2 linked regions of the Caenorhabditis elegans genome follow. The protein of the gene in region 1 purifies or fractionates together with the protein of each later gene. This does not show direct contact. Each region holds a gene or a part of one and is shown on either strand. Other genes may lie near its edges.

Region 1 (12,693 bases):
TTTCACAAAGCAATGAGCATCAGTATGATCGTGAACACTAAATTTCGTAAAATGAATGTTATATGATGATAAATCTCAGTTAACGTACCTGCTAGCCATACCGGGGCCCCAACACAAAATCATCAAGTTGTACTTTCCATTTCCAACATCCACTAGGTTTCTTGTGTATCTGTAAAAAAATAGTAAATTTTCGTGAAAAGACTTTTACCAAACTGACTTGAATTTATACTGTTCTAGTTCTATTTTCACCATCCTCTGCTAAATAATTGTTCGAAAAATGTTTTCTAATTTTATGAATTTGGTAAAAATGTTAAGATTTTCAATATTTCTTTTAACAGAACCAAACACCAATATAATACATCACGATCATTCATAATTTCCGAAGAATTCTAAAAATTACGCAGATCTTAAAAGTAGATTAGTCTGTAATCTCATCTTCCCCCAAAAATGCATTTCAATTTTTTCTGGAACAAACCAGCACTCACTTGTTCATATCGAAAATGGCAAATCTTCGCCACTCATTTGCGTTGCTTTTGTATGAAGCCATCAGCTTCATCACTTCGTCAACATCTATCAATTTCTGTTGGAAGATTTCACGAATTTGAACAACTAACTGAACAAATGATATCATTTTTCTGAAAACAGGAATGTTGTCATATTGAATAGTAAATAAAAAAAAAGTTGAAAATAAAATAAATAAACTCCTAAAGAAAATTTACTAACTGAAAAAAAGTAATGAAATAATACGAATCATAATTTCTTAGACGTCTCCAATAGGAATAAACAACTTCTAGTAAACCACCAAAAGCTTGGGGAACAATAATCCTATCAATGTTTCGAATGTTCAGAATAATCGGAAAAAATTGATATGATAGTTACCAAATTTGCAGAACACGGTTTTTTAGGCTCACATGCATAATGATACTCGTTTTGTGAACTGACCAAAAATAGATATTCACTGACCAAAAATAGACATGCACTGACCAAAAATAGATATGCACTGACCAAAAATAGATATGCACTGACCAAAAATGGATATGCACTGACCAAGAAACGTTAAGGACTAACCATCATAAAAATCACTAGGAATCCTGTTAGATAATAAATATAACTGTACACAATACACTTAGACTGACAAGCTCAAAATCTAAAAAACTTTATAATAAAATGTTATCAGTTACAATTACAGTAGTCACACATACAAGTAACGGCGAAATGCGAAGGGGAACACAACGTGACAAAACCAGTCATTTACAATAAGAAATCGCTAATCGACCATCGTTAACAGTTAAGGGAGAAGGAGATACTTTGTGAAAGAAAATATGAAAACGACGACAGATTGAATTAATAGTGACACTTAATGAGTGGAAACAAGAGAAAAAAGATAGAATCGGAAAAAGATCGGCAAAGCATTGCGAAAAATAAACTGTATGTCTATGTCTGCCACGTGAGATTCTGGTTTTTTCTTCTTTTGGAAATAATTTTTTGTTTGTTAGGTTGAACATTTAAACTTTTAGAAGTTCGAAATCCAACTGATCAGATTCAGTATTTATTAGGTGATTAGTGTTATCACAAGTTACCGTTACAAAGGGGCGTGGTTTGGAAATGACGTCATCTGATGTGAAACTGATGGCGTTAGTCGACTAATATCTTATCTTATCAGACAAAACCTTTGCAATTGTCACGTAAGCAAGGCATTTTTGTAGTTTACAGTAATATCGGGACTTCCCGTTCTTGAAGTTTTGAAAATTGGAGATCGATCTGGAAGGGAGTTATGTACAGGCATCTAGTAATTTTGAAGAGGCAACTATTGACAATCTTTAAAGTTTTATTTTTAAAAATTAGATTTGATAGGTATTAAAGAAACACTCTCCTAGAAATTATAGATTCTTCAATTTTTCCAAACGTACAAAAAATACGAATTTTTCCATTTTCTCTAATCGCCTGCAATAGTGTAGCATGTTTCAAAAATTAAAAATCGTTTAAAATTAGTTTTTCATACGCAACGTATATATTGACAAAAAAGGCAAAGACCGAGGGCAAATAAATAACATAATAAAGTTTAAAAAAAACCACCATTTCAAACAAAATTAATATATATCAACAGGAAAACGATTTTTAAAAAAAATGCATCTATGACTTGTGCGTACTGCTCCAACCGCGAAAGTTCAAATTCACCGTACTTCGCTGTAGTTCGGAGGATTTGATGAGGAATGCCACGTCACCATCACGTGATAAACAACTCGAGTTTAGTGCCATTACGTCGATTGGCTGAAAAATTCTAGTTTAGAACGGAGAAAAGCAAAATTAGACATTGTGCAGGAAACTTAACCACTTCTCAGCGCCACCTATGCGTTGACCTTTCAGAATTTTCAGAAGGCAACACGTGCACACTTGGCGCGTGCTAGCGGCTGGCTTAAAAAACAACCAAAAACAAAAAAGAAATCCGTCGAACCGGATTCGAACCAGTGACCTAAGGATACCTGCTGACTCTACAGTCCTCCGCTCTACCAACTGAGCTATCGACGGCACGGAGGTGGACGGAAAAATGTGTCAATAAAAATGTTTGTTGCTTGAAAGACTTTCAATGCGTCTAAGTGGCAGATACGTAGTTACAATCGTATAAAACGGTTCCTGGCGGGACCTTTCTGTCTTTACTCACGTCTATAAACTTCCTCGACTCAAATGAAGAAGCTTTTTGAACAGAATGAACCCGTAGACTTCCATCGTTTGCTACCAAAACCACAAATGATTCGAAATTGTTGGAATCTGAATCTCAATTCATATTAAATGTTTTTTTTTCAAATTCAGGAAATCTCACTCTTTTTATTCAATATCCTAGCCACCATTCCATTTTTGATCTTCAGCCCTTCCAGCGCAGTGATCTTATAACTGTCGCGTTTCACCATCGGCTGACAATTATAGATTCGCAGCTGCTCCTCGGTGATGACGACGATTCGAGTGGATGCGGAGAACTGAAATAACCAAATAAATTGAGTATGAATAATTTCACGGAGTTAACTGGGGATACGCTAATGCCGCGGAGTCGCGCACCGGGAAATTTGAAAAAAAAACACATGGGAGACACGAAAAATTCTAGAATTTTGACTACATTCGCATAAACTAAAAACTGGCAATTTTGCAACTCTTTTTCATTCACACTCCAAATCTCAACTTACATATCCTTCCTCATTTGTGATATCTAGATTAACAACCGGTTGCTTGTGAGGAATCGAGAGTTTCTTAATCTGTTCCGCTTTGAACGTCATTCTTAGTCCAACATCATGTTCGCTGATTGCGTAAAAGTAGACAGAGCCTTCGTGGAGCCCCACAGCTATAATGTCATCTACATTTTTGTCGTCGAGCACCGGAAAGCGCATCATTCGGAGACATGTTACGGTTCCTTTGGAATCTGGAAATATTGAAATTTCAGGGTGAGATAGGAATTGCTTTTGATTTTTATTCAGAAGATTTGAAGATTTTGAAAAGCATGTGACCACGTTTAAGGCTTTTCACCTAATCTATGAGCACTTCAAAAAACCCCGTTTCAGATTTCCACTTACTCTCAGCATAGCAATCCAGCACTCCCAGCTCTTCCCTTGCTTCAATTGGTCTCTCCATGAACACCTCTTCCTCTTCAAAATCGTCAATTCGCTTTGGACTTGTCTCATGCTGCACATGATTTGAAGATGAAGCCACTGCACCTCCTGAATCCATTAATGTTTCAGTGCCCTTCTTTTTTCGTCGGAACGTCTTTCGAAGTGACTTCTTGAGACTTTTGAATCGTTGGAATTGGTTGGCACTGACATTACTTGAATCATCTGAAATGAGCGTAGACTTCGAAGATGCTTTATGTTAAAGGCGGCCGAGCTTCATGGTTTTGAAAACTGGTGGTTTCGATAATTGCTAATTTTCAAAATTGTTAGCAATTTCCAATCATCCCGGGGTCAGACTCCCCAATCTACAAACTTTGTTCTTTCCAAATTATCTGAAAACTCACTGTTGTCATCATTGAATGAATTCGCATAGACAAGATATCCAAAGTTTACATCAAGCATCACAATTCCAAAGTTACTTCCAACTGCCAAGCAGTGATACTTGTGAAGATAGACAATATCGGTGATTCGGTGGCTGGGATGCATTGAGAACACCAACGGTAGATCACTCTCGTTTTTAAGCCGTATTTGATAACCCGCATTGTACTTTAATTCTGCTTTCCTAGGCTTTAGCGCTCGTTTTCTCGTGTCTGGCGGAGAATTATTGCAGCTGATCGGTGTGGCCTCCCAATGTGTGAGAGTTCTCGCAGAATCCCAAAGTTCATACATTAGTACATAGCCACCTCGATTCGTTCCAATCACAATTCCAGATTTCGGATCAAAGTGCACACGGGTGATACACATTTCTTCGTCGTCATCAAACGGATCATAGAGGCCAATTTTGCGCACTGGTTTTTCAGGTTTCTCGTCGCTATTGTAGTAATTTGAATCTTCGTTCTAAAAGTTTACACACAATATTCACTGTTTCCTAAAATAGTTACTTACATCAAAACTAGATGCGCCGTCAAACTCCAATGAAGTGCGGATAACTAGCATCAAGGACATTCCAACTCCACCGGAAGACCATATACAAATATTTCCATTTGAATGACCACTCAAATAAACTTGTCGGTAAGAAGCTCGTTGATGGTTCGCGTCGGTGACTATCTTCTTTTGAAAGTTCAACGGCCAGTCTCTGGTTGACATCTGGTTAGTCTCCCAATAGGATTTGCTGGCCTGAAGAAAACATAATAAATGACTAAAATAACTATAAAAATTTAACAAGGATGCAAAATGTTTTTCAAGTCAAAAAGGTTTGCGCAACGTAAAAATTGTCGAATTTCAAGTTCAGAATTTTCTACAGTAGCAGCAGGTAGTTTTTCATTGTTGTATAGAAGTTTTTTTGTGGAGACATACTGAACAATATTATCACTTTCTGAATATTACTTTAGTCTTAATTGAAAGTTTTGAGAAGGTGCTCAAAAACTGACTCAAAAAGCCAATTTGCCGGTTGGCACAGTTACGCGGCACACTGCGACTCCTAGGCAGTTTTCGAACATTTTCTACATACGTGCATTTGAAGTTAAATTTTTTTAGAAAGTATAAATATTTCTCTATGTTTCTATATAAACTTGCAAATAAAAAATTTAGCACTACCATGACGAATTTTAGCACTACTATGAGAAATTACCCTTTCCAAAAGTTAAAAAAGAAAAACAAAACCTAACCGATTCCAGACGATTCCATACATTTTCCTCAATTTCAATAGCTCTCGAGTGGGTAGTTGGCGTACTATTATTAAAAAGGATTAAAGGATTAAAGGACGATCCGTTCTTCAAGTGCTATGCACTGCGGATCTGGGATTCAGGTACACTGCCTGGTGGTGATCCCTCTGGGCTGTAATTTAAGTCACGTCCTAGCCGGGGACTGTGGCCGATAATCCAGTCGTGGATTGCTCCACTTCCCAATAGAGGCTGGGTGAACCTAGGGGGTGAGGCCGGACTTGAACTCGTGACCTCCAGACTGCTAGCGGCCACCACTACCGACTGAGCTATCTGCCCTACTATGAGAAATTACCCTTTCCAAAAGTTAAAAAAGAAAAACAAAACCTAACCGATTCAAGACGATTCCATACATTTTCCTCAATTTCAATAGCTCTCGAGTGGGTAGTTGGCGTACTATTATTAATCGAAAGAAAATGTTTCGGCTGCATCATATTCAACGACTCCCTTTCCAAATCGATTCCAATGATCTCGCATTTTGTGCATATTAATACCACTCCACTTTTCTTGCAATCTTCTGGAACATATTCAAAATTAGGAAAAAAATAGTTCGAATAATTTTCAGTACCGTAACTACCACTGACACCAACAATCCCTACAATTTCCGATGAGAGCTCCAGTTTTTCAACAAAGTCGCCATGGCTAATTGTGATCAGATCTCTATCGTCGTACTTTCCAGAACTTTTGCCTCCTTGGTAGATGAGGAAGTTCTCGTTAGGATCCCTGAAATGAGGCAAATAATTATAGTAAATCCAAGCAGAGAAACTCCGAGAAGGCGATTTGTATGAAATTGACTTTATGAAAATGAGTTTTTATTTTTATTTTTGAAACAAAACCTTTATTTTGAAAACTTTAAACGAAAACTTACGACGCATCAGCACAAACAGAGAAATGTCGAATTTGATGGCAAGGATAGGGTCCAAATTGATTCGCACTGTAGACATTCACTTCTTGAGCACTTATCTGACAGTCTTTTCCAACTGTAAACTCCCATTTTGTGTATTTATTATTGCAAGAAATGCCAAAAGCTACATTTTTCTTCTTCTCGCTACTCCAGTGAAGTTTCTGTAGAGAACACATTTAAAAAAAGAAAAAAAAAGTTTCAACACACCTGTATAGCTTCATCCTCATAGTTCCGTAGACTGGTCTTCATGACAAACTGTGATTCGTTAAATACGCCAACACAACCGTTTTCCGCAATGAGCATCAAAATTGATGGCTTTTCCGGTAAGCAGGTTATACTGGCGAGCTCTGTGTCGTCAGGCAGCCATTTTTCAAAATCTTCAGCTTTGACGAGAACTTCTGATTTGAGGGTTTTGGATTTGATTCGGTATATTGTGTTATTCATGGCTGTAAAAATTGAAACTTTTTGGACTTACAAGCTATCAAAACCATAAATGCTTTCTGTTTTGCTCACGTCATAATGAAGCTTGATTGAAAATAAATTCCTGTTACGGTAAACCTAGTTTCCAGTTTTTCAATATTTTTTCACACTTATTTCGGAGTCAATTTGATAAAGTTGAAAAGAAAGTTTGGTTTGACTGAAATGCCATATTGCTGTAAATCTTACCATTTTCAATTTTTAATTGTTTTTTTTTCTCTGGGAAGACTTTTACGCTTTAGTTTGAAAATTAATTTGCACAACTATATCAACATCGTGCAATTTTTTTGAAACTAAGTTTCAATGAAAAACTTACAAAAAACTAGGGCAAATGTGTCATCTGATAACTTTTGGACATGCGTTATATCCCATTTTGATTTGTGATTTTCGTTAAATCGCAGTTCCTCCTTTTTTGTTATTACACCATCTGAAAAATATAATTTTTAAAATCTTTTAATTGAATTTACAGCCGATATTTTGCCGAAATTGTTCGGCGAAATTTTGAAAACATGTCGTTTGGTAAGTTTCAGAATTTGCCAGGCTTAACAAATTTGGATAAATGTGACTTAAAAATTTTTTTTTGTAGGACTACTACTACTGACTGAATGCTTGGAACACGTTAGATTTTTTATTAGGTTCTTTCTTTTCTATTAGTAAGTAACTTCATCTACAAATTTTTTAATATGAAATCAAATTTTTTTTTGTAAATTTGTAGCATGTGCGGCAAATTTTAAGAACTGCCATACATTCCTATTTTAGTATAATTTTAAAACGAAATAACCTTTGATATGAATTGGGATAATCAGCTGTCCATCACAAAGAACCAATGCAATGTTTGAGGATATGAAGAAAATGTGCTCGATTCTCGCTTTATTCTCACTGTCCTTGCTCAAGCTAACTGTCCATGAAGCTCCTCGGTAGCCGTAAAATGTGACTTCTCCGTTTTTAGATCCAATTACAACACATCCGTTGTGGTAGTCAAATGCTACGACGTCAGAAGTGAATCCACCGCGGTTTCCCTAAAATAAATAATTTTGAACTGATGAGCGGGGAATAAATTAGAAAATATTTCGAATTTGGCAATTATTGTTCAGTTGAAATTTGACAAGTTTTCGTTCCCAGTATAACTTTTTTAAAAATTTTTCTGATTATGTGCTATTCTACAGCATTCTTAAAATAAATTTTCTGGATGACCTAATGCAAATTAAAAGAACATTTAAACGTTTCAAAATATTTCAAATACATGTTCAACCAAAATCTAAACACATACCTCATCGAAAACCGCATATTGTTCTATGGCATGCTCCTCGGGTTCGTGATAAAACTTGGACCGGATAAATCGTAAGATGCTGCTCATATTAACCCAAATTCGAGGTGTCTAAACCGAAAAAAGTCACATAGAACCGTATAAGTGAACACGGAAAAAGGAAAGGAATAGACCCAAAGCGAGAGAGTAGGACGGGGAGAAGAGAAAGAGAGAAGCGAGAAAAGATCAGGTGAACTGAAGAGACGCCGAGTCGGAACGCACCCCTTGTTGTTTGCGCACAATTGTGGTGGGGTTGAGAGGGAAAAGAGAGGTGGGGGTGACTCAGTCATTTGAATGAATGTTGCTAAATGAACCGCACCAGTGACCGCTGGGTGGTCGATAGGTAATAGGGTGCCCTAGCAGGTGTTGCGAAATGCGCGAAGGGTGTAAACGTGTTGGACACGAACAGATTGCAAGTAATTCAAGGTTATCGTACCTATTGACCCAGATAGCTGCTGCTGCTACTGCACTGACCAAACTTAGAATTAACCAAACCTAATGTACATGGCAAATTAACAAGCAAACATAACTTTTGTTTACTTTTGAAGCGTTTTTAAGTTATACACAATGACTCAATTAAATTGAACTTGCCTGCTAAACATAAAGGCAAGGTCCTGATATTTGGGAAATAAGTGGCAAAATTAGAAAAAAAATTGAAGTGAACAAAATATAAAAACTGGGATCAATATTTATAGAAAAAAAACAGTTAATGAAAAACAATGAATATTTTAACTCCTGGGGAATGCGGAAATTAAAAAATGGGCGGCAGAAGGATTTTATGAGCTATAAAACATTTTTGGGGATCTCAGTGGTAGGAGAATTTATTATTATCATGAATATTCAATAGATATTACAGTGTCATTTTATTAGCAGGAGCGGAATTTGTATTTTCTCATAAACATCACCATATAATTTCTGACTTTGCTAAAAAAAATAGCACGCACTGACCCAAATAATTTTGGCACTGGCATAGATAAGTTTGGCACTGACCAAATGAACCTTCGCACTAATCAAATAATGATCGACACTGGTTTATACATGTAATTTTAATTAGGCGGTATTTACTGACCAATCATGAATTTGCCTAAAAAAAAGTTCGCAATTTAGGGCTTTCACGTAGGTGACGAAACGCCTGCAGCGCCCGTTTCACAACAACCGCATGCCTCGCGCCGCGAGCCGTGCTTCCTGTGTAGTGTGGCGCGGAACCCAAGAAGTGTCGGCCGCGGCGGAAGAACCACCGTTCGCACTAAGTGGAATGAGCATCAAGCCTTTGACTTCATGTAATTATGCAGAAATGAGGCAAAAGCTTGGCAGGTTGGAGGCCTGAAACCGCGCCTGCCTTCCATGGAACCGCACTTATGACGGAATGTTCGGCAAAAACTGAAACATGCACGGATCGGAGTGAATAACTGGAACCAACTTTCAGATTACCTTTTTGTTCATAAATGTCTCGTTTTCCAATTTCTTACTTTTCTCAACAATTCCTTCTTACAAGATGATGACTTTAGAAAGACTGAAAACGAATCTGCGACTAGTCAAACAGAAATAATTGATAACGATAGTGATTTTGTAATCATTCCCGCTTGATAAACTGTGCATTTTTCACTTTTTGGCAAAAGTATAGGTGTATATCATTCTTAAACTTTTTTATTTAGGAATGTTGCGGAATTTATTGCTTTTACTACTACCTTTACTGATTGAAGCAAAATTACCTCCATTTTTCTTGGGAAGACTAAATGGGAAAACATTGTTGAAGTAAGTAGATTTTTTGATGAAAATTTAATTTAATCTCTTTTTTGAATTCTAGTCACCATTTGGACCGGTTAACAGCGTCTGATGGGGCAAGCATTCAAGAGACTTACCCAAATTTGCAAGTTCATAATTTCACCCAGAAGCTGGATCATTTTGATCCATACAACACGAAAACATGGAATCAGGTAATTAATTCAAAGAATAGTTTTTTCAAACTGCCTTAATTTACAGAAATATTTTTACAATCCAGTATTCTCTAGAAACAACTCAATCATTTTCTTAATGATTGGAGGAGAAGGCCCAGAGAATGGAAAATGGGCAGCAAACCCAAATGTTCAGTACCTACAATGGGCTAAAGAGTTCGGAGCCGATGTTTTTGATTTGGAGCACAGATTCTTTGGAGACAGTTGGCCAATTCCGTATGTGCAGCATTTTTTTAACGAGAAGTTTTTAAGTTCAGTCTCTGAATAAAAATGAGTATGTAAGGTTTGGAAAATTGCCTAAAATCTTTCGCGCAACTTGTTAATTAAAGTGTGTTTATTTCACAAAAAAATAGCATTTATTTCTCAAAAAAATAGCAGATATGTGAAGTAAGTATCAGGGAAATGGAATATTTTTCTACATTTAAAAAATTAAAGAACAATTGTGCTCTTTTTCAGAGACATGCAAACGAGTTCTCTCCGTTATTTAACCACTCAACAAGCCCTCGCCGATTTGGCATTTTTCATAGAGTTCATGAATCAACAATACGGGTTCAAGAATCCAAGATGGGTCACATTTGGTGGTAGTTATCCAGGCTCCCTTGCAGCATGGTTCAGGCAAAAATACCCGCAATTAACAGTGGGTTCAGTTGCTAGCAGTGCTCCTGTCAATTTGAAACTTGATTTCTATGGTAATCTACATAGATTTTTAGTACTTGTAAATTATATATAGTGTTCCAGAGTACGCAATGGTTGTTGAAGACGATTTGAGAATAACCGATCCAAAATGTGCTCAGGCTACTAAAGATGCATTTGTTCAAATGCAAAAACTGGCGTTGACAGCTGAAGGAAGAAACTCATTGAATAATCATTTTAAGTATGTTAATTAAAAAAAAAGCTTTCAAAACAGTTTTTAAAAAACTGGTGCTCAACTAATAGCTCAATTTTTGAAATGGGATCTTTAGGTTTTCTATGTGATTGTGGAAGCTCTGGAGATACAAAATTAGTCAAGTTTGACTTTTCTTTAAAAAATAACAAAATTAAAAAAAAATGCATCCAATTTTCAGTCTTCAACCTCCATTCGATGCAAACACAACAAAACTCGATATCAATAACTTCTTTGGCAATATTTTCAACACTTATCAAGGAATGACTCAGTACACTTATGATGGACAGGTAAGACAATTTTCGTTTTGATCTACCTTACCAAACCATACCTAACTGATTTAACAATACATTCCAGCTTATTGAATAGATCAATAGTATAATTTATCAACAGCTTACAACCATAATTAACCCAACTCTAACTATACACTTTCAGAGCAACAGCACACATTCTGATAAGACCGTCCGCAAAATGTGCGACATTATGACTAATGCCACTGAAACAGATGTGGTGATGAGAGTGGAAAACTTGTTCCTGTGGTTCAACCAAATGGAGCCCGCAAGCGCAAATCTCACTGTCATGCCGAACAGTTATTGGGATGTGATCAGTCAAGTGGGAAGCGGAGATTTGAACGTTTTGGGACCAGATGGAGGTATTACATTTTTCGATAGTATATAAATCAAAAAGGGGGAGCTTAGCATAACGTTGAAACTTCTAGATTATTTCAAAATAAAGTCAAAAATTTAAGCTGCCGCTCGTGGATGGATGTGGTTGTGTTGTAACGAGATTGGATTCCTCCAGACTACAAATCAGGGAAATAATGTATTCGGAACAGGAGTTCCATTGAAGTAAATTTATTCCTAAAATACTTATGAACATAAAATAATTTTCCAGCTTATTCATCGACATGTGCACAGACATGTTTGGTGATAGTATGAAAATGAGTCAAATCATGGGAGGCAACAAGAAATCGCAAAACTACTATGGAGGCGCTGACTTTTATAATGTAAGTACAAAAAATCAATGGAAAAATACCCACCCATAAGCTTTGTCTCCGACGCAGGTAATGAAATTGGCTATCGATTGAGGTTTTTGCGAATCTCTAAATTCCAACTGATTTCCAAAGTTGTAAAACCGGCCGAGTTGCATCATTCCAGATACCATATTTCCTCTATTAGTTAGGCACCTCTATTAGTTTTGCACCTCCATTAGTTTTGCATCTAAAATCACTAACCGAAAATTAGTTTTGCACCTCTAATAGTTTTGCACCCCTTAATTTTTCCCTATTTTTAGGAATTCAAAAGTTGCATTAGAAAGTCGTTCTAAAGTCTAATTAGGAAAACTCTTACAGACTTGGTATAACAAGTCAAAATTGACAAAATATGAGTACAACTCGGACAATTTTTGCGTATCAGTCGTAAAACTCGTCTATTTTGGTTAATAAGTTGTCATTGAAATTGATGATATTATGTCATAATTTAATGGAAAACATGAGAAAAAACCTGTTTGAAAATTAGTTTTGCACCTCCATTAGTTTTGCATCAAAATTAGGTGTCCGAAAATTAGTTTTGCATGCCTTACTAATAGAGGATATACGATAAACAGATCTAGTTTAAAATAAATTGGAATTTTCGAAATTACACGCAGGTAAAAATCGATTTTTCAGGCTACGAATGTCGTTCTTCCAAATGGCTCTCTCGACCCATGGCACGCTTTGGGTACTTATGGGACCATCAAAAGCCAATCTCTTCTTCCATACCTTATCAACGGAACTGCGCATTGTGGAGACATGTACCCATCATATGATGGAGAGCCGGGATCTTTGCTAGCGGCTCGTGCTTTTGTTAAGGA
Region 2 (11,121 bases), on another chromosome or scaffold:
CGGGTAACCATTCTCCATCCAGATCTAGGCATCGGTGGAGCCGAACGATTGATTGTTGATGCTGCTGTTGGATTACAGGATCGAGGACACTCTGTTCGGATTTTCACGAATCAATATAGTAGATCGCATTGTTTCCAAGAAACTCTAGATTTGGGTGAGTCGTATTGCCTTAATGCAAAATTTCGCGTTTTTTTGTGCCAAAAATACGGTAACTGGTCTTGACACGACAAAGTTGTGTTAAAAGTTATTTGTTTAAATATTTAAAACTCAAAAATTTCAATAAAAACATTCATTTTTCAAAATTCGCAAAAAAAAAATTGAAAAAATTTCCAAATTCGTGTTTTGTTGATATATTTAGATATCACATAAATAAATATATTTTTATCGAAAAACTATAAAAATTGATGAAAATTCCGCGACAACAAAAGTTTGAAATTACAGTACTCATTAAAATTGCATGCAATTTTTCATTCAAAAAAAAGAAGTCACATACCGTATTTTTGTCGCAAAAATCTAAAAAATTTCGCGTCTCCGTAATAATACCAATCGTCAAGCTGATTTCATTTTTCAGATATTTGTACTGTGGTTCCATGGATACCCCGTTCAATTTTTGGAAAAGGTCATGCTCTTTGTGCATATCTTAAAATGATCATTGCTGCTCTCTACATTGTAATCTACCACAAAGATACTGACGTCATACTTTCGGATTCTGTATCTGCTAGTCAATTTGTTCTTCGTCATTTCTCAAAGGCAAAACTCGTATTCTATTGTCATTTCCCGGATCGACTTTTAACGAAACGTGATGGAAATCTGAAAGCTTTCTATAGAAATATTATTGATTGGATTGAAGAGTACACAACTGGACTTGCAGATGTCATTTGTGTCAATAGTAATTTTACAAAAAATGTGGTTCGTGAAACATTCAAGTCACTGGCATCTCAGGAGCTGACCGTACTCTATCCTTCGTTGAACACCGAGTTTTTCGATTCGATTGAAGCTTCGGATGATTTTGGTGAAGAAATTCCACGTGGTACCAAATATGTTTTCACCTCACTGAACCGATTTGAACGAAAGAAGAATATCGTTTTGGCTCTAGACGCATTCGGTAACTTTAGATTTTATATTTTTAAAAACCTGTGTAATAAATTATTTTGCAGAGAAATTGAAATCGAATCTTCCTGCCGACGAATTTTCGCAATGTCATCTTGTTATTGCTGGCGGATATGATTTGAAAAACCCAGAAAACATCGAACACTATGATGAACTTGTTGAACATATGAAGAAACTGGAGCTCCCAGCTGATCAGGTAATAAATACGAATTTAGCAAAGTATAAATTACTTTTAAATTTCAGATCGTATTTCTCCACTCACCATCTGACACTCAAAAAGTAAATCTCATTCGGAGAAGTCGTGCGGTACTTTACACGCCTGATAGAGAACATTTCGGAATTGTTCCAGTTGAAGCAATGTACTTGGGAACCCCAGTAATTGCTGTTAACACTGGAGGTCCCTGTGAATCGGTTCGGAATAATGAGACGGGATTTTTGGTTGATCAAACGGCCGAAGCGTTTGCTGAGAAAATGATTGATTTGATGAAAGATGAGGAAATGTATCGAAGAATGAGTGAGGAAGGTCCGAAATGGGTGCAAAAAGTGTTTGCATTTGAAGCATTTGCAAGAAAGCTCGACGAGATTATTCAATCTACGCTTTAATTAATGTTTTTTCTTGAAATTTGGGTTTTAAGCGTTTCGTTTTAGAATCGCCAGTGTATTTTTTGTGATAGTCCTATGTGCTTTAAATTATTTATTTTGAAAGGTTCAATAAATTATATTTTATGACCGAACACATTATATTCTCAGTTGTTATCTTATATATCCACACCGGAATGTTGAATATCTGACCATATATATTTAGAATGTTGCGGTAATTTTTTTGTTGCTGTGGAATTTTATTTTATTTTTATTTTTCATAGTTTCAACATTTTACAATTTATTGAAATTTATGGGTTTTAATTGTTATATTTGGCGTTTTTCGTTTACTTTTTCGATAAAAATAAATTCAGTTAAAAACTAAGTTATAACAATGAAAACACATAAATTTGAACAAATCGTAGAAAAATCACTACAAATTTGACAGATTTTATGGGTTCTATCGCGATTTATTGAAATTAACGTCTTTTAATTGTTTTATTTTAGTTTTTTAGATAAATACTGTTTTCAAACGAAAAACTTTGAAAAATCGATAAATCTCGCAGTACTCCTGAAAGGCACACACTCGTTTGTACTTAAGAAAAATTGTCGCGACGAGACCAACTGTCCAACTACGGTAGTTTTCAAAATACGCGGTTCACCGCAAAGTCAAATTGCGGACCTGAACATTTTTTTATTTTTCCCGCAAACTTTTTTTTTCAATTTTGCCTAAAGCGCTCGAATAAACATGAAAGTCTCGTGTTTCCTTCCATCCAGACCTCTCATTTTTCAATTTTAAAACTAAAAGCACTTTTTGACCTACTTTTTGTCGCAACCGCCAAAACTCGCTTCCAGAATTATTCCCTTTTTAGGATTTTCGACGCAACATCTCCAACCGGTTAGTTTTTTCGCAGATTTTCTCGCATTCGCGTAGTTTCACTTGTTTACTTCGTGGCGCCTCGTTTTTTTCCGCTCTCTCGTCTGACCACCTTCATATTTATTGATCTGCGCCTAGCGGCGCCCGTTGAAATACTCCACATTTTTTTGCAATCTTGTCTGCGAGTTCAGGTTATTTTCGACTTTTATGAAAGCTTGCTAGGAAGCCATAGCAACCGGGGAAGAATACGCTAGCCAAATGAGAGATAGAATCGATCAGCTAAATTTAAGATAAATAGTGAATTCGAATTCTAAGACCTGCTCGACCAGCTGAAATTCTAAAACTCTGCGCCAAGATGTATAGACAGGTAATAATATTTGAATTTTCTTTAAAAGTGACCTTGAACCCTAAGATTTTCGCTCCTCCTAAACGTTGTAGTCTGTTACTCCCTGCCGCGACAATTGTCAGCAAAAATCGCGTCACATGATGATGAAAGTTTGTGGCAATGTTATAAAAAGACTGACCTTATTTCGTTTCTTGGAAGATGCAAAGAAATGTTTATTAAAAATTGCAGTGTGAAATCATGTCTCTCGCTCCAAAGGTGCATTTCTTATTTGTTTTTTAAAAATATATTTGGTTACTTAGATATTAATTTAAATCACGGAAAAGTTTAAACCCCTCGATTTCTGTTATTTAACATGATCACTCACTTTTATAACAATTAATTTGGTTTTTCAAAGATGTTCCCAGAATGTTTTATTAGTTCTCATTTCGTCCTCCGATTTTTTTTCTTTCGTCGCTCTCCAATTTTGCCAATGTATTTCATTCCCATTAGATAAGCACCGCCCGTCACCTTATTCTCCTTCTTTTCACATTGCAAACAAATTCGTTGCCGTTGGGTTTCAATATCCTTTTCATTTTTTGTCGTATTGTTGTTCTTGTGATTGTGGTTGTTATTTTATCGCGGTATTATTTTTTTTTGTTAAACTAATTAATTTTTAGATGTCGAAAGCATTCATCGGAAAGCCAGCTCCACAATTCAAGACTCAAGCCGTCGTTGATGGCGAGTTCGTTGATGTTTCGCTCTCTGACTACAAGGGAAAATACGTTGTGCTCTTCTTCTACCCACTTGACTTCACTTTCGTGTGCCCAACCGAGATTATCGCCTTCTCTGACCGTGCTGAGGAGTTCAAGGCTATCAACACCGTTGTGCTCGCCGCTTCCACCGACTCTGTCTTCTCTCACTTGGCATGGATCAACCAGCCACGCAAGCACGGAGGACTCGGAGAGATGAACATTCCAGTTCTCGCTGACACCAACCACCAAATCTCCCGTGATTACGGAGTTCTCAAGGAGGACGAAGGAATTGCTTTCCGTGGTGAGTTATATTCTGAATGGAATCCTTCATATTTTCGTACTTTATTTGAAAAATAAAATTTCAGGACTCTTCATCATCGACCCATCACAAAACCTCCGTCAAATCACCATCAATGATCTTCCAGTCGGACGCTCTGTTGATGAGACTCTTCGTCTTGTTCAGGCCTTCCAGTTCGTCGAGAAGCACGGAGAGGTTTGCCCAGCTGGATGGACTCCAGGATCCGACACCATCAAGCCAGGAGTCAAAGAAAGCCAAGAGTACTTCAAGAAGCACTAAATGTCTTACATCTCTAATTTCCCCCGTATCCCTAGTATTTATCTGAACGGTTTATTTATACTCATTTTTCATTTTGATACTGAAATTCTGAAATTCATGAAATTGCTTGATAACCGTAAAATAAACTCGGTATTCGAATATAACTGTTTCTGTTCAGGAACAAACAATATGTGTCGAGACTCTCTCTCTGTTACTTTTTTGTCACTTTCCTAGACCGCCCGTGTTAGTCGGTGCGCGCGCATCGTCGTCCTGTACAGTGTTTGTGAGGGTCACCTGTGATTATTCATTTCTCTATGCCTCTTCAAAGCTGGGCCGCTCTCACTGACCTGTACACTTGGACAAAATGGGGGTGTTCGATAGAGCGTCAATGCATATATAGCTATAACAGTGTGTGTGTGTGTATGTGCATGTTTATTCATGAGTCATTTTTCCCTTTTTTACTCTAATACTGCCAACTCGTCACTGTTTCAGTTTCGCAGTTTTCGTTCAGAACTCCTTTTTTTGAACCGTTTTTAGTTCAATTTTTATTTCAGAATGTCGTCTCCGACATCATTAGAGGAGGACGGAGATATTAAGCTAAAAACGAGGTTTCAAGGACAGGTGAGATATGAAAAGTGGCTTTTGAAATGCTCAAAAATCGAGAAATACCCTAAAAATGAATTTTTCGTTGCAGTGAGAATGTGTAAATCATTTCGCCGTCAATGCGAAATTTTAGTTTGTCAAAGCTTTAAAAATTCGTAACAGAGAGAAAATTCCAGACAAAAAATAGAAAAAGACCGTGATAACCGAATAAAACTGTAAAAAATTAATTTTTCTGAACTTTTAATGATTTGATTAATAGTGTTTAAAACTTAAAAAGCTCTTTTCCGGCTAAAATTAAAAAAAAACAACCACTGATTTTTTAAAAATTCTGCAAAATTGAAAAATAATTTTTGTTACTGTATAACTTTTTTTTTTTAATCTGAAAAATTCCAGACTCCCAAATTTTAATAAAAATTAAATTCCAGGTAGTAGTACTCTATGCTCGACCACCGCTCATTCTCGATGACTTTTTTGCACTTTTGAAAGATGCTTGTAAACAACACAAAAAACAAGATATTACTGTAAAATGGATTGATGAAGATGGAGATCCAATCTCAATAGACTCACAAATGGAACTTGATGAAGCAGTTCGATGTTTGAATTCTAGTCAAGAAGCCGAGTTGAACATTCACGTTTTTGTTGGAAAACCAGAGCTGCCCGGGCTTCCGTGTCAAGGAGAAGACAGTAAGTATCATGAAGCTATCAGAAAAATTATTTAGAATTTCGAAAAAATGTGCGCCTTCAAAGAATACTGTAAAGCGGAATTTCTATCAATTTTTATAAAAAGATTGAAATGAAACAATTAGAAACACATAAATTTTGGAATTTTGGAAAATAGATCAAACTTCCGCAGTTTGAAACTACAGTAATCTTTAAAGGCACACAATTTCTCGCGTTTAACAAGAAATTTGTCGGAGGAAAAATCGGAAATTTTCGAGTCTGAGAAATGTTTTTTTTCCAGAAACTGTATATCGAAGAGGTGCTCGACGATGGAAGAAAATTTATCTGTACAATGGGCATCGATTCCAAGCGAAACGGCTGAATCGGTAGGTTTTTTTTTCTGATTTACAGCCTCCGGAGCTTCTTTCTTTTCAGCCGTATTCAATGCTTTATTTGTCATGACTACATATGGGGAATTGGACGGCAAGGCTTTCGATGTGTGGATTGTCGTTTATGCGTGCACAAAAAATGCCATCGGCATGTGCGAACGCATTGTGGTCAGGTAATTCTTTTTTTTTGTAGCGAGGATAGCTTCTAAATTATTCCAAAATTTTGAAACTAAGACCTCCCAGACTTCTGTTTTTCAATTTTTACAAATTTCTGTGCAAAACAGGTTTAAAGCTTAAATTTTTAAATTCCTCATAAAAATCTAAATCATTTTCAGGCTCTCCAAGGCCCGAATATTATCCCAATGGCTCCTGCAAGTGGTTCTCTAAAGGGTGCTCGATCGAATACAAGCTCATCTACAACGCGGTCGGGTGGAGGAATTGATAACGGAGCATTCCACGAGCACGAAATCGAATCACCCGGATCCACGAGTCATGATGCTAGCAGAGCTATGGTAAGCTTTTGAAGTTGGAGCCAAAATTTGAAATAAAATATATTTGAAATTTGATATAAATATCTTTGTCTTCACGTCTCCGAGGGATCGTAATAAATTTAATTTAATATTCAGAAAAGTTAATTTTTTTTGAAATTTATTAGTTTATTTCCAAAAAAACATAACTTTTATTTAAATAAAACCATCTGAAAAGTCTCAGATTTACAATAGCTGAAAATGAAATAACTCTTGTTAAAAAAAACAATTTAAATTGGAAAGTCTTTGAAATAGTGGTAGTTAATTGAAATATTTAATTAAGTTTAATCCAAAGTTCAATTAAATATTAGGTTCTTCCTGTTGCAATTTCAATTTCAAATTTCTAGATACGTGATATATGTAACTCTTGAAAAACATTCTAGATTTCTAGACTCAACTACATTTTTTTGTTTTTTTTTGGATGAACAAGTTTTTGTAGTTTCACTCTTTCTCTTGCTCTCAAAATTTTTATTCATTTCCAACCACAATTCCCTTCCTCGCTGCGAATTCTGATTTCTTCCTGATATCAAAATATTTTAATATTTCAACGTATGGCACTTTTCTGTCAGTGCTTCCCAGTATCAGATAAAAAGAAACGGCGAAAAGTATTTTTAAAGTTACATAGATTCAAATACTAAAATTTTTTAATATTTCAGAATGGAAATGGGTCGTCAAAATGGGCAGTTTCTCTGAACGATTTCCGTCTTTTAACAGTTATTGGACGTGGATCTTATGCAAAAGTTGTGCAAGCAGAACATGTTTCAACTCGTCAAATTTACGCGATAAAAATTATCAAAAAGGAGATGTTCAATGAAGATGAAGATATCGATTGGGTACAGACGGAGAAGTCAGTATTCGAAGCAGCGTCAAATTATCCATTCCTTGTTGGATTACATTCTTGCTTCCAGGTTGGTAACTTTCTTTTTCTTCGATTTTTTCAAATCTCAAATTTTCGCATTAAAAATTTTAAACCAAAATTTTGATAATTTCAGACCGAATCCCGCCTGTTCTTTGTCATCGAATTCGTTCCTGGAGGTGATCTGATGTTCCACATGCAACAGCAACGGAAGCTTCCAGAAGAGCACGCTCGATTCTATTCGGGTGAAATAATTCTTGCTCTTCATTTCCTTCATTCTCGCGGAATCATTTATCGTGATCTCAAATTGGACAATGTTCTGATTGACGCTGAAGGACACATAAAACTGACAGATTATGGAATGTGTAAAGAGAATATTAAGGATGGAGATTTAACTTCAACTTTCTGTGGAACACCCAATTATATTGCACCAGAAATATTGAGAGGTGATGAATATGGATTCAGTGTTGATTGGTGGGCATTGGGAGTGTTAATGTAAGCCTTTTTTGGTTGAACATTTATTTTATTTAAATCGTTTTAGGTTTGAAATGATGGCTGGTCGATCTCCATTCGATATTGTTGGAATGCAGAATTCCGAGGAAAATACAGAAGATTATCTTTTCCAAATCATTCTTGAACGACAGATTCGAATCCCTAGATCACTTTCTGTACGGGCTTCTGGTATTCTAAAGGGATTCCTGAACAAGGATCCAACAGAACGTCTGGGATGTAAGCTTGACATTAATGAAGGTCTTCGTGATATGAAAGAACATCAATTCTTCCGTGGATTCATTGATTGGGAAGCTTTGGAACAGAAGGCTGTCGCACCTCCATATCATCCAGCTGTGGAAAGTGATCGCGATTTGACACACTTTGATCATCAGGTAATTTTAATTTCTTCAGAACTTAACTTTAAAAAAAAATTAGTTTTTGTTTACTAATAAATTATTGAATCAAAATATTTTAAAACTAATTCAAAATGCTTGTTTTTTTTTTCAGTTCACCGACGAACTTCCACAATTATCACCTGACAATCCAGATGTTATTGCACGAATTGATCAATCAGAATTTGATGGATTTGAATACGTGAATCCTCTACAAATGAGTCGGGAAGATTCAGTCTGATTCCCCCACCATCCCCCGAGTCCCAAATATTTATTTTCTTCGGTATACTTTTTTGTGATTTTTATTATTATTCTCGAATCCCATCTCCTTCGCCCACTGTCTTATACGATACTATGACACACTAACTCGTGGCATAATCAGTATCCTAACTTATTTTCTTTTTCTCAACATCTGTTATACATTTTCTCGCAACAATCACTTCTACTCGTCTTGTGGTATCTTACAATCCCGAAAAGGTTGTGATTTTTTTTGGTTTCTGTTAAAATCTAGACTATTCATACTTGCTAGGAATACCTAATGCTTGATGACCTCCCCTTCTAAATACACCTTCTTGTTACTTTTCTTGTCAGCTCATTCATTTCCCTGAAATATATGTAAAATTGCGGCGAAGACTACGATCAATGTAGTCTCTTCGCCATCTGACACTTCTTTTGTGCCACGTGTGGAACTCGATTTAACTTCAATTCAATTTACATGTTCTTCCATTTGACCACTTCCCTTACTTATTTATTGACAAACAAAAAAAAATTGCATTTCAATGGTCTTTATCAGTTCTAATGTGGGCGCCAATTCATTTCATCATCACAGTCTGAATCACCTTCCTCGCTTGCTTTTTCAAAGTTTTCTGGGCGCGGGCGGGTAGAAAAGTCTTAAAGGGACGTTCGAGCACAATCTCTCGTAGTCCACAGTCGGCTTCATAGAAGTTGAGAAGTGCTCTGCAAAATGCCTCGCCGAGAGCTTCATCTGAAAATTGAACCAAGTTACAGTAGGAAATCACTGAAAAAAAACCTACATTTATATTGAAGATATGGCGTACAATGTTGTATTCCATTTCCAGAAGAGTCTGTATGGCGATAAGAGAAGAATGATACTTCAAGTGTATAGCAAAGGCAGGAAAGTAGATCTCCCATCGTTCTGAAAAGTTATGAAGGGTCCTGACACGACTGGCATTTTTCTGCTACAGTAACCCAGCGTGTTTTTCTCAACTCCGTGTTTCCCAATGTATTCATTTTGAAAATATGCATATATTTTCTAGAAACATCATTATAAAACCACACAAAATATTGAGAAAATGTTGCAAAATAGAGATTGAAAGTAAAAGGTACTGTTGCTGGAAATGTTCACTCACGCCAGGACCCACAGTCGTGTTTTTGCACGCAGATACTACGGATGACCATGTGAGAAATTACTAGCTATTGCAAAATTCATATCGTGGCAAGACCCATCAAATTAAAATCACGACTATTCGAAATCCATAATAAATTATTCGTTCCCTTCCATATAAAAAATCTCACCTTCTGCCAGTACCAGCCTTCTCCACATCCGTGTTGAATTGAGTGAACTCGAGCGAATAATCTTCGGAAAGATCTGCCAGCAAATGCGGAAGCCATAACTGCCGGAAAGTCGATTTTTCTTCGACCGAAAATTAGAAAAAAATGTTTCAGAAAATTTAAATTTTGTGGTCATTGCAAAGTTGAGCGAAACTATGAAAAGATTAGGGTTTAAAATTGTGAAATGCTGTAGATAACTGCTAAGTTTCGGTAGTATCAAGACCGGGTACTTTGTTTAAAATCGCTAAGTTCTTCAATCGGCTAATATCGGGTCTCGCCACGGACAAAATATTTTCAATAGTTGCTGTACCCCTTCAAGAAATACAGTAACTCATAACTGATTCTTGAAGTTGCCCGAACCAATTCACAAAAAAATTCACAACTTACAGCTGACATATTCACATTTCCATACAAAAAACAATTTGGCTTCTGAGAATGGGCATGTAGATCAACGTAGATTACAGTTTGGGCTTGCTGAAATATTCAAGAACAGATCCTAAAACTTCTACAAATTATTGATTCATTTATTCCTAAAATTGACACATAACAGTGAGCATGGCAACTTTCCCACAATGTTTCAATTTAACCATAGTCTACAGTAATCTAGGATTTTGATCGCTTCGAGATACAGTCAACTTGAATGTATCATGGGAATTGCAAAAAAAAATTGATGAAAATGCTCAAAAGTCCTACAAAACACTGAATATGTATATCGATAAATTCCCAATATCGATAAATTTAACAGCTCTCACCGGATTATTATCATATTGCGTCAGTAAATTCTTCACAGCATAAATTGAAGGATGAGCCCAATCTGAAGGGGTTCTCCACATTCTATTCAAGTCATGACCCATTAGAGAACATCTGAAATGACCTTCTGATAAGGTAGGCACTGTAGGTAGGTACGCCTTTATGCCTGGGCCGAGAGGTTGTTGGTGACGAGGAATGCCTACCTAGGCTGTTTGCAAAAAGTTACCTATAATTTCCGAGAAAAACGCCATCTGGATTAAGCATTGGAATAATTTTGAAACAATAAACTTTTCTCAACTTCTGTGCTCGATCATCTTTGGAAACAAGAAATTCAATAATTCCATGCATAACATGACTACTCGGTGACTCTCCAGGATGAACTCGCGCAGTTAGAAAAATCATTTTCTTGGATCCTTGGAATGTGTCAGGTGTTGCATCAATTGTTATCAAGTCGACACGACGTTTTTGCTGAATTATTTTCCAAAAAGTTTCAGACTATTCCATGAATATTTCCAATTTACCACAGTTTGAACCAAAAGATCTCTATGAAAAAATGGGTATTTTCTGGATTCCAACTCATTCAACCATATCTGCATTTGTCCATAAGTATACGGTATACAGTATGCAAATTGAACAGGATCTGGTGATTCAAATATGAAAGCAAATGAAAGAATCCAACGA

The links.
Region 2: the proteins of lgl-1 (region 1) and pkc-3 purify together in Caenorhabditis elegans (affinity purification with western blotting, with the first as the bait; 2 studies listed by BioGRID). This does not show direct contact.

The regions. Positions count from the first base shown.
Region 1 is NC_003284.9:862,944-875,636, forward strand, and holds lgl-1 (Lethal giant larvae homologue 2 domain-containing protein), read right to left. Parts: upstream 8,147-12,693; 5' UTR 8,056-8,146; coding exon 7,969-8,055; intron 7,718-7,968; coding exon 7,480-7,717; intron 7,126-7,479; coding exon 7,015-7,125; intron 6,668-7,014; coding exon 6,429-6,667; intron 6,383-6,428; coding exon 6,186-6,382; intron 6,041-6,185; coding exon 5,886-6,040; intron 5,835-5,885; coding exon 5,650-5,834; intron 4,773-5,649; coding exon 4,542-4,772; intron 4,494-4,541; coding exon 4,001-4,493; intron 3,822-4,000; coding exon 3,564-3,821; intron 3,413-3,563; coding exon 3,180-3,412; intron 2,976-3,179; coding exon 2,822-2,975; intron 2,770-2,821; coding exon 2,663-2,769; intron 2,538-2,662; exon of another isoform or gene 2,414-2,537; intron 2,272-2,413; coding exon 2,134-2,271; 3' UTR 1,154-2,133; downstream 1-1,153. Other genes in the region: cdo-1 (Cysteine dioxygenase 1), read right to left, coding at 1-37, 89-169, 486-631; Putative serine protease F56F10.1, read left to right, coding at 9,662-9,759, 9,812-9,941, 9,988-10,175, 10,416-10,648, 10,698-10,833, 11,024-11,132, 11,278-11,494, 11,591-11,690 and 2 more.
Region 2 is NC_003280.10:5,375,274-5,386,394, forward strand, and holds pkc-3 (Protein kinase C-like 3), read left to right. Parts: upstream 1-4,753; 5' UTR 4,754-4,754; coding exon 4,755-4,820; intron 4,821-5,227; coding exon 5,228-5,486; intron 5,487-5,763; coding exon 5,764-5,848; intron 5,849-5,897; coding exon 5,898-6,024; intron 6,025-6,186; coding exon 6,187-6,363; intron 6,364-7,034; coding exon 7,035-7,286; intron 7,287-7,370; coding exon 7,371-7,729; intron 7,730-7,775; coding exon 7,776-8,118; intron 8,119-8,233; coding exon 8,234-8,359; 3' UTR 8,360-8,896; downstream 8,897-11,121. Other genes in the region: algn-2 (Alpha-1,3/1,6-mannosyltransferase ALG2), read left to right, coding at 1-154, 572-1,105, 1,158-1,306, 1,354-1,713; Peroxiredoxin prdx-2, read left to right, coding at 3,150-3,167, 3,569-3,944, 4,009-4,220; ccpp-6 (Cytosolic carboxypeptidase 6), read right to left, coding at 8,931-9,103, 9,153-9,274, 9,655-9,779, 10,078-10,164, 10,443-10,554, 10,667-10,908, 10,962-11,121.